Linked DNA regions of Lepisosteus oculatus. The protein of the gene in region 2 purifies or fractionates together with the protein of the main gene of each other region. This does not show direct contact. Links are inferred from orthologs where the notes say so. Each region holds a gene or a part of one and is shown on either strand. Other genes may lie near its edges.

The links.
Region 1: the proteins of shcbp1 (region 2) and plk1 purify together in Homo sapiens (affinity purification with western blotting; 3 studies listed by BioGRID, with this or other methods). This does not show direct contact. The link is inferred for Lepisosteus oculatus from reciprocal best matches to the Homo sapiens genes SHCBP1 and PLK1.

What each region holds. Positions count from the first base shown.
Region 1 is NC_090714.1:12,120,269-12,128,014, reverse strand, and holds the start of plk1 (serine/threonine-protein kinase PLK1), read right to left. Parts: upstream 3,075-7,746; 5' UTR 2,666-3,074; coding exon 2,297-2,665; intron 1,294-2,296; coding exon 1,125-1,293; intron 240-1,124; coding exon 95-239; intron 1-94. UniProt on the Homo sapiens protein: Serine/threonine-protein kinase that performs several important functions throughout M phase of the cell cycle, including the regulation of centrosome maturation and spindle assembly, the removal of cohesins from chromosome arms, the inactivation of anaphase-promoting complex/cyclosome (APC/C) inhibitors, and the regulation of mitotic exit and cytokinesis.
Region 2 is NC_090715.1:6,687,392-6,695,547, forward strand, and holds the start of shcbp1 (SHC SH2 domain-binding protein 1), read right to left. Parts: upstream 3,257-8,156; 5' UTR 3,115-3,256; coding exon 2,898-3,114; intron 2,382-2,897; coding exon 2,184-2,381; intron 1,372-2,183; coding exon 1,256-1,371; intron 603-1,255; coding exon 394-602; intron 1-393. UniProt on the Homo sapiens protein: May play a role in signaling pathways governing cellular proliferation, cell growth and differentiation. May be a component of a novel signaling pathway downstream of Shc. Acts as a positive regulator of FGF signaling in neural progenitor cells.

The sequences.
Region 1 (7,746 bases), on a different chromosome or scaffold from region 2:
GGTCAGTCCAGTCCAAAACCACACCGGAGAACGCAAGTCTTCTAGCTGACACACGCTCAATAACTACCCCCGCCCCCCCAACTCCAGTGCTTACAGGATGCAGCCCAGTGACCAGATGTCCACCTCAAAGCTGTGGCCCTTCTTGCACAGCACCTCGGGGGCGATGTAGTTCGGCGTGCCGCACAGAGTCTTCTTTCGCTCGCCATCGTACTCGATCTTCGTGGCCAGGCCAAAATCGCCTGCAGGGGGGCAAAAAAAAACAGGCAGGCATGGACTCAGGGAGCCAGGATGCAGAGCTGACGCCTAGAGCATGAGGAACACATAGAGGCACTGATGTCATTTGACCAGTCTGCGCACGTGAGCAGTTCATCTCGGATGCAACAGGAAGGAAAGTACGTTTTCGAGGGTTTGCCAGTTTCTTGGCTCGGGATTTCAACTATCAGCAACTAAGGTTGCTGCTGGAAGAGGCGTTAGTGGGGCCAGTTAGTGGTCTGTGTGGGTCCTAATGCCCCAGTGTAGTGACGGGGACACTATACTGTAAACAGGCGCCGTCCTTCGGATGAGACGTAAAACCGAGGTCCTGACTCTCTGTGGTCATTAAAAATCCCAGGGTGTTTCTCAAAAAGAGTAGGGGTGTAACCCCGGCGTCCTGGACAAATTTCCCATTAGCCCTCATTAATCATGGCCTCCTAATTAATTCCCCTCTATGAACTGGCTTCATTACTCTGTTCTCCTCCCCACTAATAGCTGGTGTGTGGTGAGCATACTGGCGCACTATGGCTGCTGTTACATCATCCAGGTGGGGCTGCACACTGGTGGAGGTGGAGGTGGAGGGGAGTTCCCATTACCTGTAAAGTGGATTGTCCAGAAAAGCGCTATACAAGTCTGAGGAATTATTCCTTTTCACGAAATGAATGTCAGCTGACAATTTTCTAACATCGCAGCTCCAAAACCCAAAGGGATCCCCCAAAAACCCCCTACCTCTAGACTGGAGACCCCCAGTCCACATCACTGCCCACCCCTCACTGGTGCCTGGACACGAGTCCAGATCTTTACGAAACAGAACCCCTGGCTCGTCTCTGCAGGCAGAAGAACAGTTTTCTGAGCAGGCCCAGCTGCATTACCTATCTTGACCTCCATCTCGTCGTTCAGAAACAGGTTCCCCAGCTTGAGATCTCTGTGGATCACTCTGTTGTTGTGGAGGTACTGGCACCCCACAATAGTCTGCCTCATATAATACCGGGCCTCCGGCTCAGTCACCGCCTTCCTCCTCTTGTGCAACTCCAGCAGAGACTGGAGGGGTGGGGAAAAAAAAGATGTTCAAAGACCTCAGTGAAAGAAATGCAATTAGGTTAGAAGTACAGACTCTGCAAAAACGTGTCAGAAGGGAAGTTTTACAACTTGAACAGGAGAAATGGGGGAGATTACGGGATGAAATACTTAAGTACAAAAGCAAATCAACCCTATCAAGTTGTAAGTAGTTCAGCTAGGTAGCTGCATCAGCATGCATAGGCTGCAAAGGAACAAGTGATAGGTTTATTCCGTGCTGAAAAGAGAAGAAAGGAAACAACGTTTCGGCTGTGGAGCCTTCTTCAGCTGTGAGGAAGGCTCCACACCCGAAACGCTGCATTTCCTCTCTGCTCTTTTCAGCACGGAATAAACCTATTACTTGTTCCTATTAAGTTGTAAGACGCCTCCAAAAAAAAATTTGATCTTTACGCAGCGGGGGAAAGTAATCACTGCACTCATTCCCAAACAGTTTGGATACAAGGGTAGCCAAAAGGTGCACATTTAGAGTCTGTTGGGGGGAAGGGGAGGGGTGTTCCCTTTGACACGCTGGAATAGCTCGGGCAGGAGCCACACTCCATAGGAACAGGAACTGCAGGAGGCGCTCGGAGCGTCATGGCAATGCGAGTCCAGGCAAGCGCACGGCCGGGGGAGGCTGCGCAACACCCGACCCGAGGGGAAAAAAAAGGCTGGCGTACGCGCAATCGGGTTCCATTCGCAGAAAAAATGGGGTTGCAGTACTGAGGGGGTGCGCCCCGCCGCCCACACACACACACTTAAAAACCACTCATCTCCGGGTAACCGTTTTTTTAGAAAGTTACCAAAATGGGACACCGAGCATTTTCCTCTAAAAATGTAACTTATTAAAACAGCAGGTGAACAACTCGCCACTATCATCAGCTTCATCAGTCGGTTAACAACTCGCCACCCCATCCTTTCGGTTACAGAAATGCCGGATTGTCCTCTCCTCCGCCCGGGCTCGGCCCGACCTGACAGTTACAGTACTCACCCGTCTCCGGCAGATCTCCAGGACCACGTACACGAAGTCCTCGTCCTCGAAAAAGCCGTGAAACCCGACGACGTGGGCATTATTCAGGCTCTTGTGGATCGTGATTTCCATGGACATTTTCTCTTTCTGATGCGGCTTCAGTAACATGGACTTGGGGACGACCTTCCCAGCGAAGACCTCCTTGGTGTCCATATCTGTGATCTCGTAGCACTTCGCGAACCCCCCCTTCCCCAGAAACCGGCCCCGGAGGTACCTCTTCTTGGTCCGGGTGTCCACCAAAATATCGGGGACCTCCTTTAGCGGGGCCGACTTGGGGTCAACCTGCACTGACGGCTTCATCGCCTTCGCTGCTACGGCGGCGGCGCTCATTTCGAAAGTTAAGCGTTTGAATATATTAATGTAACCTCAGCCCTCTTTACAGAACCTACCGAGACTTGTACTTATATCGATTTTTTTTTAAAAAAAAGGCAGATCCAAAACTACAAACCAACGGACACAGGCCAAGTCTTACAGCTACTACCCTTTCTCCGAGCCGCATAGAAATTCAAATCAAAACTTTTCCCCGCAGAAGACAATCGGCTCGATGTAGACTCATACGGAGACGCTTTAATGTTAATAAAAAAAAGTGTGCAAAAAGCGCTGTGTATTTTGTTTGTCAGCCAGTCCTAACCCCCCTCCAACGCCCGTCTCTACCAGCCCCCTCTGTGTCCTTCTCTGGCAATACAGCCCTTGTGGACTCGACAGCATTTCAAATCCAGCTCCGTTCGTTAAAAGCGACGGCGCCGCCCGTGATTGGTCCGCAGGATTTGAAATCCAGCCTGCCCGCCGCAGGGCAGCATGGGAGCGCCCAAGTTTAAATGCCCCCTGAGCTTTTGAACCAGCTTTATTGACAGCCCCCCCGGACGAGACACACAACAGCAGGAGGGCACGCTGCTTTCTCCCTGGTTACACAGAAACGCCAGACGCAGTCTTGTTGTTGTTGTTTTTGAGTATGGAAATACTGGTTTGCAGAACTCACCAGTACTGGTTTGAAATCTGACAGGACTGTAAGTATATTCTAGTGACTCTGGTCTAATGTTTTTATTTTATTTTCAGGCTTGTCTTATACAGCTTCTGTAACCAGGTATCTAGTAATGGGTAATTGTTGATATAAAGAGTTATTCTTTATATGTAATCGTTCTTCTATGAGGATCAAAATGATCGAGAAGTGAATTCCATCCCCACGCCCACCACACAAATACTGTACCATTAAGCATTTTCCTGTATCCGTATTCCGCTGTGGAGTGTTAAAAATGAATTTTAATCAATTAAATGCCATTTATTTTTTTACCCTTTACAGTGCGCTGTAAACACTAACTCGAAATTTATTTTTAAAAAGTCCTGCACCTCCCAGTTCCTGGTATATTTTATCCCATTTTAATCGGCACACTTAAAAATCTGTGTGTCGTCGGGCTGCTATGTGGCAGTTACTTGAAAAACAACGACCACCGGAGTTTATTGGGAGGAAAAACCATTACGAAGCACGTAGTTTTGGGTAAGCTATTAATTGGATTACAATGGGAATGCCAAAAGGACATTAGTCACTGAAGTACAATAAAACTGAGTCACATGAAAGTGACACCGATTTTCCTCGTACCTTGGGTTGTTTGGAAGAGTATTTTCAGGACAACACTTCCTCTAATCGGTCGCAAATTACTTAGCTTGAGCATAACGACAATCTTCTCCTGTCCCGGAAAATTCTTCCATTTCCTCAGAGCTCCGTTGGGGAAGCGATATCCTGTCTGCCTAAGCGACAGGATCTATTTTCTCTCAATTCATGTATATATATATGATTATAAAAGTTATCATTAACGGTACTGTAGTTAAATCGCCCGTCGTGGCAGAGGGAAGGAAGTGTATTATTCGGGACGCGAATTAGCCTTTCAATTCAAAAACAAAGTCCCTAATTAAAAAAAAACTACCGAATCCGTGTGTTGCTGTGTGCTGTGTGAAAACTGTTGATTATCGAGGTGAATGAAAATAAATATTTCTATAAAAGGTAGCAAATACAGACCGAGGGCCTTACAGGAACGTATCTAACACATTGTATTTGTGACATCCAATGATATATGAGAAGAAAAAAAAACAATTTAAAAAGAACAGAAGGGATTTGCGTTACTTATGGTATTGGAACACTCTGACCACTAGAGGGCGGTGGCAGGCGGGTCACGGCTCTGTGTCCCAAGTTCTCCGAAGACACTGAGTGCCTGGAAACGTTAAAGTTTAAGAACGTTTTGGCAAGTCCTTTCACCCGGTCGCAGATAATCGCCGAAAGGGGTTACATCCAGTAGTTTTTTTTACTACGGTATTTTTTTTGTAATTCAAGGCCACATTGGTCACCTAGTTATATCACTCCATTCAATTTAGCTATATCACCCTTCAGTTCACCATTTGCAGCTCACTGAAGCTCCGCAGGTGTGAGCCTGGTCAGTACCTGGGTGGGAGACCTCCTGTGAAAAACTAAGGCTGCTGCTGGAAGAGGTGTTAGTGGGGCCAGCAGGGGGCGCTCACCCTGTAGTCATTTGGATCCAAATGCCCCAGTATAGTAATGGGGACTCTATTTTTAAAAAGGTGCCATCGCTCAGATGACCCTGACCTTCTGTGGTCACAGTATTTCTCAAAAAGAGTAGGGGTGTAACTCTGGTGTCCAGGCCTTGATCATTCATGACCTTGACCATCCCCATCTATGAATTAGCTTCATCTCTATGTACTCTGCACTGATGACTGTACTGTCCATTAAAATCACTCAAGTCTCAGGATTCTGCTGAGATATCGAGGGCTTTACAACAAGGGGTGTCAAAATAAAGGGGTTTATGGAAATATGCCTATCTGAAAGCGTCATGCACTGTCAGAAAGGATAGGGAGCCTGCTTCAACCTTAGCTCCCGGCCCACTGCTATACAGTCCTTGACTCTTTCCCCTCAGCTATTTAGCCACCTGTGAACATCTCTTTTACAATTCACTTTGCTACCTGTTTACGTATGATGTGATTGTGTTTTGCTTGTCTCTGAATTTCAACGTGTATTTGTTAATATTGTATGTTGTTTGTCAGCGTAATCGTGTTCTCTTGCTGTACCAAAAGCAAACTCCACCAAATATTGTTGTGTGGCAATATCAAATAATTATTAACTAATAGTTAAATAATAATTAATTGATTACTTAATTTTAGGCGATCAATTTTTAAGTATTCAAATATATTATTACAGTCCAAACAATGTTTGATAGGAAAAATATTACACAGGAACAATACAAAGTTAATAGTGCACTGCAAGACTTTTCCACAACGTTCTTGCATTTACTGCTGTATATGTTACTATTACTTTACTTTCATATGATTGGTAAGGAAAGCAAAGTTTATTTTGTAAACACCTTTGATTATTTTTAAGAATGCAGGCACCCGTTATCAGTAGATATAATACACATGGGCTGGGACCATTCTGGCTATTCATTAACTATAACATGTTCAAATAAATAAAAATAAAGAATGGAAGCTATTAACAGACTATTTGAGCTTCACCCCCTCCAATCCTCCTGGCACAGTGTGCAGTGCGTAGGAGGCAGCGTCTGCCAGATTCAGACCGGATGTTTTTGTGCTTCTCAAGACTCTTTGGATCATTTGCTTATTTAACCTCCTAAATGGTCTATTCATTCCCAGTTTGGGAGGATCAATAGATACACATGTCTGTTCAGCACAGGGGGATATCTTGTGTGTGCAGATTTGAATATCAAAAGGCCACAGTACGTTGGCTCCAAACATGTCAAGCACATCTGCCAGTGCTGGAGACAATGGGCAGAGCTTGCAGAAGATGGGATTCATGTGGGTCTTGATTAGAGCACAGGTAACAGAAATAGATTCTTTAAATACACACTGTTTACATCGTGCCGAGAGAAAGAGAGTGTGCCTTAAAGATAGATGAGAGGGACAGGAATAGGGAAAAAAAAAACATCAGCCATCCAGATTGGCCTCCAGCGTGTTCCTGACCTGCACTGCGGTTCTCATTAAGACAGCTGCAGTTGCTCAGCTCAGCTCGCCTGCCTTCAACCTGAGCCTCTGTGCTCACAGGCACCATGGCTGGATCAGGTGAGGGCACAGCAGTGTGTCGGTTTCTACACAGCAGAAAGGGGGTTTTGTGAGCCAAAAATGAATTGCTAAACTCTGGGTGATGCAGGAGTTTGATTGTCCTCTTGCAGAATCCAGACCCCTGGGTGTGTACAGTACTCGCCAATGGTGCCAGCTGCACAGCAGGTCCTTGTCCTCTCTCCTAGCTTGCTGTGCCTCTTCATGCCCCACCTGCCCATGTTTCACCTTTAAGAGTCTACAATTCATCCCTGCATTTCTTTCACTTCTGCACCTTTTGTGGCTTTACCCTCTGTATTGTGCTTCGTTATTGCCTTTCTCTTTATTCTGTATGTTGGGTTTTTTAGTCCAGCAATTGTCTGGTATGCACATCATCTTGGATAAGTGCATCAGCTAAAAAAATAATACGAGATGCGTGATACAGCCCTAGAATCCGTGTGAAGACTAAATCAGGGGAGATGATAATGGACAGAGGCTGGCCTTTCAGTTATCAGATTGGAGCCCTCAGGTTTCCCTGATTGCGAGGAGAGAAGAGGTGTCCATTGTCTGCAAATACATCCACTCCGGTTTCCTAGCACGTTCCCAGAATGCTGTCGTGGGAAGGTCAACTCTTTCAGTACCACGCTGTCTAATCGGCTTTCTGATCAGACTCAGTGCACACGTGAGGCTTTTGTCGAAGGCATAAAAAGGCAGCGCTCTCACGTGTAGACTGCAGCAGCCAGCTCCTGCAAATGCCAAGGCCCTGCCCAGCTCTGGGTGGGAGAGATACTGAGTAGAGAGGAGTGCGAGGAAGTGTTAGAGTCAATCCCTTAGTCCTAGGCTTGTCCTCACTCTTTTGGCCTTCTCAGGTAACAGCATTTGCACTTCAACCCTGTGTGTGTTAATGTAACTCTGTTTTGATCCCCGGAGCCAGTTGTTCAACAGCTGCCACCTTACAAGCTGCGGAGAGGACAAATAAAAACAGATGGAAACACAAACACGGGCTGAATCATCCGCTCGCCCTGCTTGATGGCGTTGGGTCCCGTTCTAAACCTCGTGTTTTCGTTCTGCTGGCCGTCGGAGATGATCGCGTGCTGTGGTGCCGCCTTGCTCCCAGTTCTGCGCCCGCTTTGTGTTTCTGGATGAAGGCGGAACCCAGGTGCAGATCTCCTCTGGCATGTGAGCAGGAGAGGCAGCAGTCACAGCGGATACAGAAAGGATACAGGCCGTGGGGAAAGCATCGCTCGACAGAGTCGGGGGAAGAACTGGCTGTGGCCAAGATGTGAACAGGATTGTGGTCAACAGGGACAGAGAAACAGGATTCTGAGAGGGCCGTGCTGTTGGCAGGCAAGCTG
Region 2 (8,156 bases):
TATATACACCTTGTTTCTGTTGGCAGCAGTTAAATATTGCTATTCGTTTTAGCAAGTGTATCATTTAAGGGCGTTATATGTCATTAAAGAAAAGCACCATCATTGAGAGACCCAGCAAAGGAGTCCAATGAAACACTACCACTTACTGATCTACAAAAAACAAAAGCAAAACTACAGAATAATAAGGATCACTGGTTACAAAAAGGGGTAACAGTTTGTAGATACAACAAAAGTTTTCATGGAAATTCACAAGGCTTTCATTAACTTTCACTTTTCCAAGAACCACATTCATCATTCTCCACTTCAAACCTCTGTACAGAACAACAAAGTCAGGACTGTCTGGATTTTCTCCAGCTAAGTAAAACAAGTTCTAAATATGCATAAATAATTTACCTTAAGTGCTCTAAAGCAAGTGCTGTTTGATCGAATTCCCCTGATTCATCAAACACAACACTGAGTTCCTGCAAAGGCACTTGATGTTCTTTTGCCTCCAGCAGGTCCCTCATGGACTCCTCTGTGAGCTCACAGCCTTTTCTCTCACACAGGAGAGGCTGAACCAGCTCCACCCTGGCTTTCAGACTGGAACACTCCACATCCACCACCTGCAATGACAGTTAGAAAGGACTTCTGAGTCACCAATCTCAGAATTAAATTAAAAAGCTTTTAGCAACATTGCATAACACCTCCCAATTGTTCCCCGGACTTTTTTAAAATATAAAGCTAACTGAATGCATAAAAAGATCTAAAAACAGAACAAACCAGTGCACTGATTTAAGAAAAGCATCTTGTGACAAGGAAGGCATGATTAAAGTAAAAATGAAATTATAAAATGAAAATCAAGATAAGGTTGAGTGATTTTTTTGGGAATGGGAGAAACATTACCATTTTCTTCTTTTAGAAAAAGCATTACTGATCTCATGAAACCATAGATCTGTAGCACATTCCAAACAACTATTTTTGAATTGCACTCCAATCGTGAGTGGCAAACAATGCAGCTAAGTGTATCAAAAACAAGACAAATTAGAATTACCTTACTTTAACTGCAAGTAAATTTAGTTGTGCCCCAAATGGTCAATAGTATTGAAAGATTCTAACCCTTCTAAGAGACACCTAAAATGCCTGAATTTGTTTTCCTGTCAGTGCTTTGTACAAGATGTTACAAGAGTTGACTTTCAGTTCTATTGCCTCAAGCTCTCTGTACTTTTGCAATAAACAAAGGTGAAGAAGGTGCCCACGATGGTGCATTCAGACATACCTCAACCAGTACATCAAACACTTCTGTGCTCCACACAGCACGCCAGCCACAGGGCTCCAGAACCTTCTCCAAGTAGTCTGCAGTAAAATCTCTAACTTCTGAGGTTTTACAGTCACCTTCAGGGAAACCAAAACACACATTGTTAGGACTCATTTCTGCAATCTGTCTATCCATTATCAGACATCCAAGTATTACTGGTGAGGGTCACAGCAAACCAGAACATCCTGTAAGCACAAGACAGGGCTACATCCCACACAGCACCACAGTGCATCACGGGACACATATGCGCAAGTATGTGGAGCAATTTACAAATGCCAATTCAGCATGCCTTTGGAAGACCGGAGGAAACTCCTTTGAAACAAAGAACCGTCAGCACACCACTCCAGAACCAAATATCTGTGAAAACGCAGCAACACTGTGTGCCATATCACTGTGCCACACAACTCTGTATTCATAAAGATTAAATATTTTTAAACCAATGTGAGTATCTGCTGACCAAAACTGTGCCGTTTTGACCTTTAAGAACAAAGAGACCTTTTCATGGTTTTCATAAAGGATGGATTGTAAGCAATCCTGAAATAAAGTATCAACATCTGTCAGTGCATCCCTCAATTTTATGAAAAGGTTTCTGAAGAAATATGCATAGTACCTTACACTTATATAGCATTTATCTGGCCACTCCACTCAAAGAGCTTTACAGATAGTGGGGACTCCCCTCCACCACCACCAATGTGTAGCACCCATCCAGATGATGCGACAGCAGCCAAAGTGCACACAATATACTCAACCCACATCAGCTCTCAGTGGGGAGAACAGAGTAATGAAGCCAATTCTTAGATGGGGATTAGGAGGCCATGATTGGTAAAGACCAAAGGGAAATTTGGAACAATAGTGCAAAGTGAGAACAGTCAATATAGAAAGCAATTACCTAGCATGTAATCTTGATAAGCTTTAAACCTCTCATAAAACAGAAGCTGGTTAGTCTGGAAGATGTCAGGGAAAGCAACATTTCCTGTGCATTCTGCCCTCTGTAAAACTGTGCCTGGCTTGTCACTGCTGCCATAATCACTACAACTGTCATCATCTTCCTCGGTATCTTCATCTTCATCATTTTCCTGAAAAAGAACTAAGAAAACACAAAACAATCAAACTTAATACTTGAAAGATTTAAGGGAATCTTTTGGTTAAACAGCGTCAAGTTAACATCACTTTGTCGTATTTGAATGCCCACTATGTAATTCAGAGTTTTTATCTAGACCAAATTAACGGTGCTTCTCCCTTCAATCAAAACAAGGAGGTTCACCAAAAAACTCTAAACAAAGGGAGATCTGTTTCTGGACAAATCCTCAAGTTTGAAAGTTTAACTTAGACCGACAGTAATACACAAAATTGCTTTTAAGCTCGTTGCTAACAACGAAAGATATTCAAATACAGAGCTGAAAAAAAATCGGAATTTGATTGCATTAGTAACTGCAATAGCTTCGGTAATACCTCTTTACCTGTTTAAATATGATCGATTTTAACTTTGGAATGTTGCAATTACTACTAAGGTAACCTCAGCGAAAAACAGGAGACGCTCCTCTCACTCTATAAATTATCTTAGGCTGTACATTTTATATCTGAACAACAAACAACGGCCTACCTTGCTTTATATACAGAATTTCACCAGGCATCTGATCGATTCCAGCAGGTTCCATTTCAACTTCTGTTTCCAAATCGATCTTTTCTTGTATTTCATTTTGTATTAGAGACGTAGCCGCTCCCTCGTCACATTTTGCTACAGGCTTAATTTGCAACTCTGGAATGCCAGCGTTTGTTTCAGCCTGCATTGTACTTGCAGAGGCGATATCTTCAGCCATTGTACTTGTTAAGGTTAAAGCGAGTCTAAGTTACTTTTAAAAAGTGTGCAACCGTCTAACAAACTTTAGTGAAAGAAACCATTAAAACACATCCTATACTTTGCTCCTCCTGCAAACAAATTCAAAATTCCCCCGGTTAAGAGAAGACTGACCAATGAGAAAACAACATGAAAACGCAATTTCCTTTTCTGGTTAGGCTCATGACGTCATTGACTAAAAAACAAAACAAGAGCACGGCTCTAAAGAGCCAAAATGGCGTACAAGAACTGCAGTTACACAGGACTGTAATACATTACAAACAGGAGATGAGGTGTTAACAGAATTATTATAGCAGGCAAAAGCGAATTACTAATGAATGACTAAAAATTAATAAGTATTAATTCGATCTAATAAATTAATTAATATAACTTATGTCAACAACATAAAAGTTAAATATATTTATGAACCCGTATTTGAAATAAAACATTATATATTTAACTGTATTCAACAAAAATGTTTTATGTGTTGTGGTTGGATATATGTAATTCATGCATAAGTCTTTTTTACCTTTAATTCTGCACTAACAGAAGCAACTTTATTTATATGAACCATGCAGGGGCAGTGCTATTAAAATATCCCCCCCCCCCCCCCCCTCAAAAAAAAATAAATAAAAAAAATACAAGGGAAATGGTCAAACCAAATTATCAGTATTCTGTCAGGTCAGTAATTGTGAACTGCTGCATGAGAGCTATCTATATCATATTGAAATCTCCACATTTCATTTAGTGCTAAAGGGCTGCTGTCACAGATGTCGGAAGGGATGAACCGTGGAGAGGCGGGAGAACAGAAAAAGACCCATATGCGTAGCAGCGGAATGGGAGATTACCCCAGGCTCAGCAGTTCAGGAGTCGTATAGAAACCAATGCCCTCAGGCAGCGGATGTGGGGCCACCTGGATGCTAGGCGGGTCTCAGGACATCCGAACATCAATGCTGAGCGAAGGTGAATGAGAAACCCGGAAATATATAGCCCAAGAAAGAGAGACACCGGAAGGACAGCAAAGCATAGGAAACTAGGGACAGAACAGAGTAGGAGCGCCCTCTGGCTGCAGAGGGCGTGACAGCTGCAGATGTAAAAGTATTGGCTTTTGGGTTATGGCAGTTCAATAAACTCAAGATTTTTCCATTACTTCTGACACTGAGAGGCTGTAGTGGAGGGTATTGTTGCCTTTAAGTGTATCTTGATCTTTAATAATCTTTCATGCAGACTGTAGTTGAAAAATCAATGCAAAACACATTTTTCTAAAGAAACCTTTCAGTCAAGGAAAGAAGATTCATAATGAACCCATCAGTAGAAACCCTGAGGACGCCCTTCTTCATGTTCACACGTGAGTTACATTACTGCTGCTGCAGGGGAAGAGCTGAACTTGTGTTTTTTTTCTAGCCATGCTCCAAAGGTAGAAGGCAGCTGCTGAGAGATGCCTGAAGATGAATGGTGTTGCTGGCGCTTTTCAGAAAAAGCTTTTCTGGAGAAGAAACCTGGAGCTGTACAATTTTGTGGCCTCAACACAACCAAAAACAGTTGTGCCACATGATACATAAGAACATAAGCAAGAGGAGGCAATTCTGCTCATCTAGTGTGTTACAAGAATTTCAAGTGGATGGCAGAATAAAAAAAAAGAAAAGAGACACAACACAGAGCAATCATTGTGGAACCTTCTTCAGGTGCATCACTTCTTTCCCTTTCAGCATGGGATAAACCTTTATCTGTTCCTTTGTTACACAGATGTCATAGAGCTGTTTTTTTGGAAGGAAGCCAAGATATCGGCTTCAACAAGATAACAGGTAGCTTATTTGATAACACCACAACCTTTTGTGTGGAGCACTGCCTCCTATTGTCTGTTTTAAATGCACTCTCACATATTTTCCACTTGTCGTCTCTGGGTAGTGTTGGAATATTGTTGATTTAGATTTGACATAGACTTTGGCGAAGACCTTGAAGATTTTGAATACTTGTATCAGGTCCATTCGTAATCGTCTCTGTTCAGAACTTAAAATGTTCAGATATTCAGCTTTAACTGCACAGAGGATAGCAGAAATACTGTAGCTGTTTTACTTCTCCAATCCATTTTACTTCTATCAGTTTAGAATGTCAGCAAGAACATTCTTTTTACTGGTGGTGGAGCTGTAGTAGGACAAATAAACTTATCTATTGAATTAAGTTTAATTTAATATAGGACCTCCAAAAAGCAATCATTGGTCTGATATTACCAATGTAAAATCATTTGTAATATCAATTTGAATTCCTAGCCAATTTTGTAACATGAATAATAATCCTAACCCTTGAAACTAACTTTTAAAACAAAACAAAACAAAAGTCATCCTCGCTCCTGCCTAATCTTTATTTCTATCCCACAAAACCTAGTTTAATGGAAAACTAAATATAACTGTAATATAACAAAAACCCGAACACACGCCAAAGTGTTAAACTTTATACTGATCCTTATTCAGCTCTATCCCCAGTCCCTTCCCAACTAGCCAAGCTCTTACTTCCAGCCTACTGTAGTTCTAGGCTTATCCTAAATATTAACCCAAAAGGAAGCTGATACAAGAACCAGTGTGATGACAGAAAGTACCACAATAAATCTATAAAATTATTTTCCGTGGCTAAATAAATGATTCATGTGCTTATTATGGGTGAATTTCATTCAGTGTAACAACTCAGTCTGCACACTGTCATTTCAGAGATGTTTTGATTGCAATTAGGAATCAGTAATTTATTAATCAGCATGAAGCGGACCCCACAGACTTTGCAACATTTTACTTCTAATTTGATTGTCTGAAGCAGCAGAGTGGAACTATTCTGGATGTGTGGCAATGGGTCTTCATATAGCCACCCAAGAACAGAACGATGCATTTTTGAGCCATTCCCAGAGACAGCAGAGTGGCAGCTTTGTATCCTCTGGTCCAAAGAATCCTCTGTTAAAAACTATTGGAAATGGTCCCTGCTGAACTTCTCTCATTTCTCAGGCAGATGGCAATAGAGAGACGTTTTTAAAACCAGCAAACAGTAAAAACACAATTTTACCATATAAGATCAACGTTAATAAAAGATTATGCTAATCTGTATGAAGATTATTTTTACAATGCTAACAACGTTAACAAGTGTTATATTTTTGCAGATTGCTGTAACAATACCGGATAAGCAGCCTGAAAAACAATATGAAAGGCAATTTATAAAATAGGACATTATTGATTTTGTCAGCTTTAGTGTGATGTAAAAATTACAATGAAATAGTAATAAAAGTAGTAGTAAGAACAATATTTGCTAATTATTTTGCTCATAAGCAGAACAGCTGAGTGGCAGATATTTATATTACTGCTTTACAGCTCTTGGCTGCTGAGTTGGATTCCTGACTCATTACTTTTACTAGAGTTTGCATGTTCTCTCAATTTCCTCTCACCTTCTAAGGGTATGCTGACTAGGCTCTAGGTGGCCAACTCTGGTACTGAAGAGCCACAATCCAGCAGGTCTACAGAACAGATTGACAGGTATTAATTTAAATATTGCAATATTTCATTAACATTAAAATATTTGAAGTATAATAAATGACTTAAATTAGAAAAATATAAATTCTTTAAAAATAGAAACATGTGGCTAGGGTGGCAAGTGGCACAGTGGTTAGCATTGGTACCTTGCAGTGCTGGGGCCCTTGGTTAAATTTCTAGGGTGTTTTCTGAATGGAGTTTGTCTAATGGAAACCTATGTTTTTAATACGTTTTGTCTAGGTACTCTGGTTTCCTTCCACAGTCTATAGGGTAAATTAACTGGCGTTCCATCCAGGGTGTACCCTGGCTTGTGCCTATTGCTTAAAGGATAGGTTCCAACTCCACTGCGATACTGTGTTATGTAAAGGGGCTTTAGAAAATGGATGAATGGATGAAAATGGGTCTAAAAAGGTTTTTGGAATAAACTACAGTACTTTGTGAATTTATCTCAGTAAGTTTTGACCTCGCAAAAAGCATGCTCATCATTGTCACACCTTTCACATACATTTCAGCCTTGTGATGGGATTTGGCGTTAACACACACCATTAGAAATTCCCCTCCACAGTGTCCATTTGAAGACTAGGTCAATCCTTTTATCCACAATATTGGCTGCATGTTAGTCCGGAGACTCAGAAAAAGCATCAGAGAGCCAGCAGGTGTCCTGCACAATGGTTTTGTGGAATGACACTTGTAACACAGGAAGAAGACAGCTGCAGGGAGTGAGTCACAGAATACCACTCCCACTGCACTACTGATCAGGCTCATGTCATCCTATTTTAACAGATTTCTAGCCAAGGATGAATTTTACTTCAACAACAACAACAACAAAAGGAGTACAATAAAGAAAAGTAATAATAATAATAATAATAATAATAATAATAATAATAATAATAATTATTATTATTATTATTATTATCATTATTATTATTATTATTATTATAATGTCTGATTTTAAAATCTGACATTTGTGGCTGATGGCAGAGTTCTGTCTATTTACGTTTGTTCTGTCTTTCTGTCTCATTCAGTTGTTAACACGACAATTCAATAATGCCTGTATATCAACAGAACAACTAGCGTCCTGTCCAGGGAGTATCCCGCCTTGCACCCATTGCTTGCCAGGATAGGCTCCAGCTCCCCCATGACCCTTTATTGGATAAAGGGGTTAAATATTGAGAGAAAGATTGGATAAAGTCTTATTTTGTGTCTTTCAGTGATTTAAAACTTTAGTAATATATTTTGACTTTTAGACTGGTAATTCTTTGCCAATCTTTAGCAGGTGATGACAGCCCAATTAGGTGTCAGTAGCAATAAAGGAAACCTGACCATAATGTATTCTAGTGCCCAATGTAGCCATAGCAACCACAATGTTCAAAGCCATTCTGCCTTTCAAGAGGGGGATATATCCCATCCCTAATGACAAGCCTGAGCTCTGAAAAACAAACCTTCTCCTTTCAGAGCTTTTTATCTAATTGAATAACAAATCGAGTCTCGTTCAATATAAAAAAAAAATCAATGG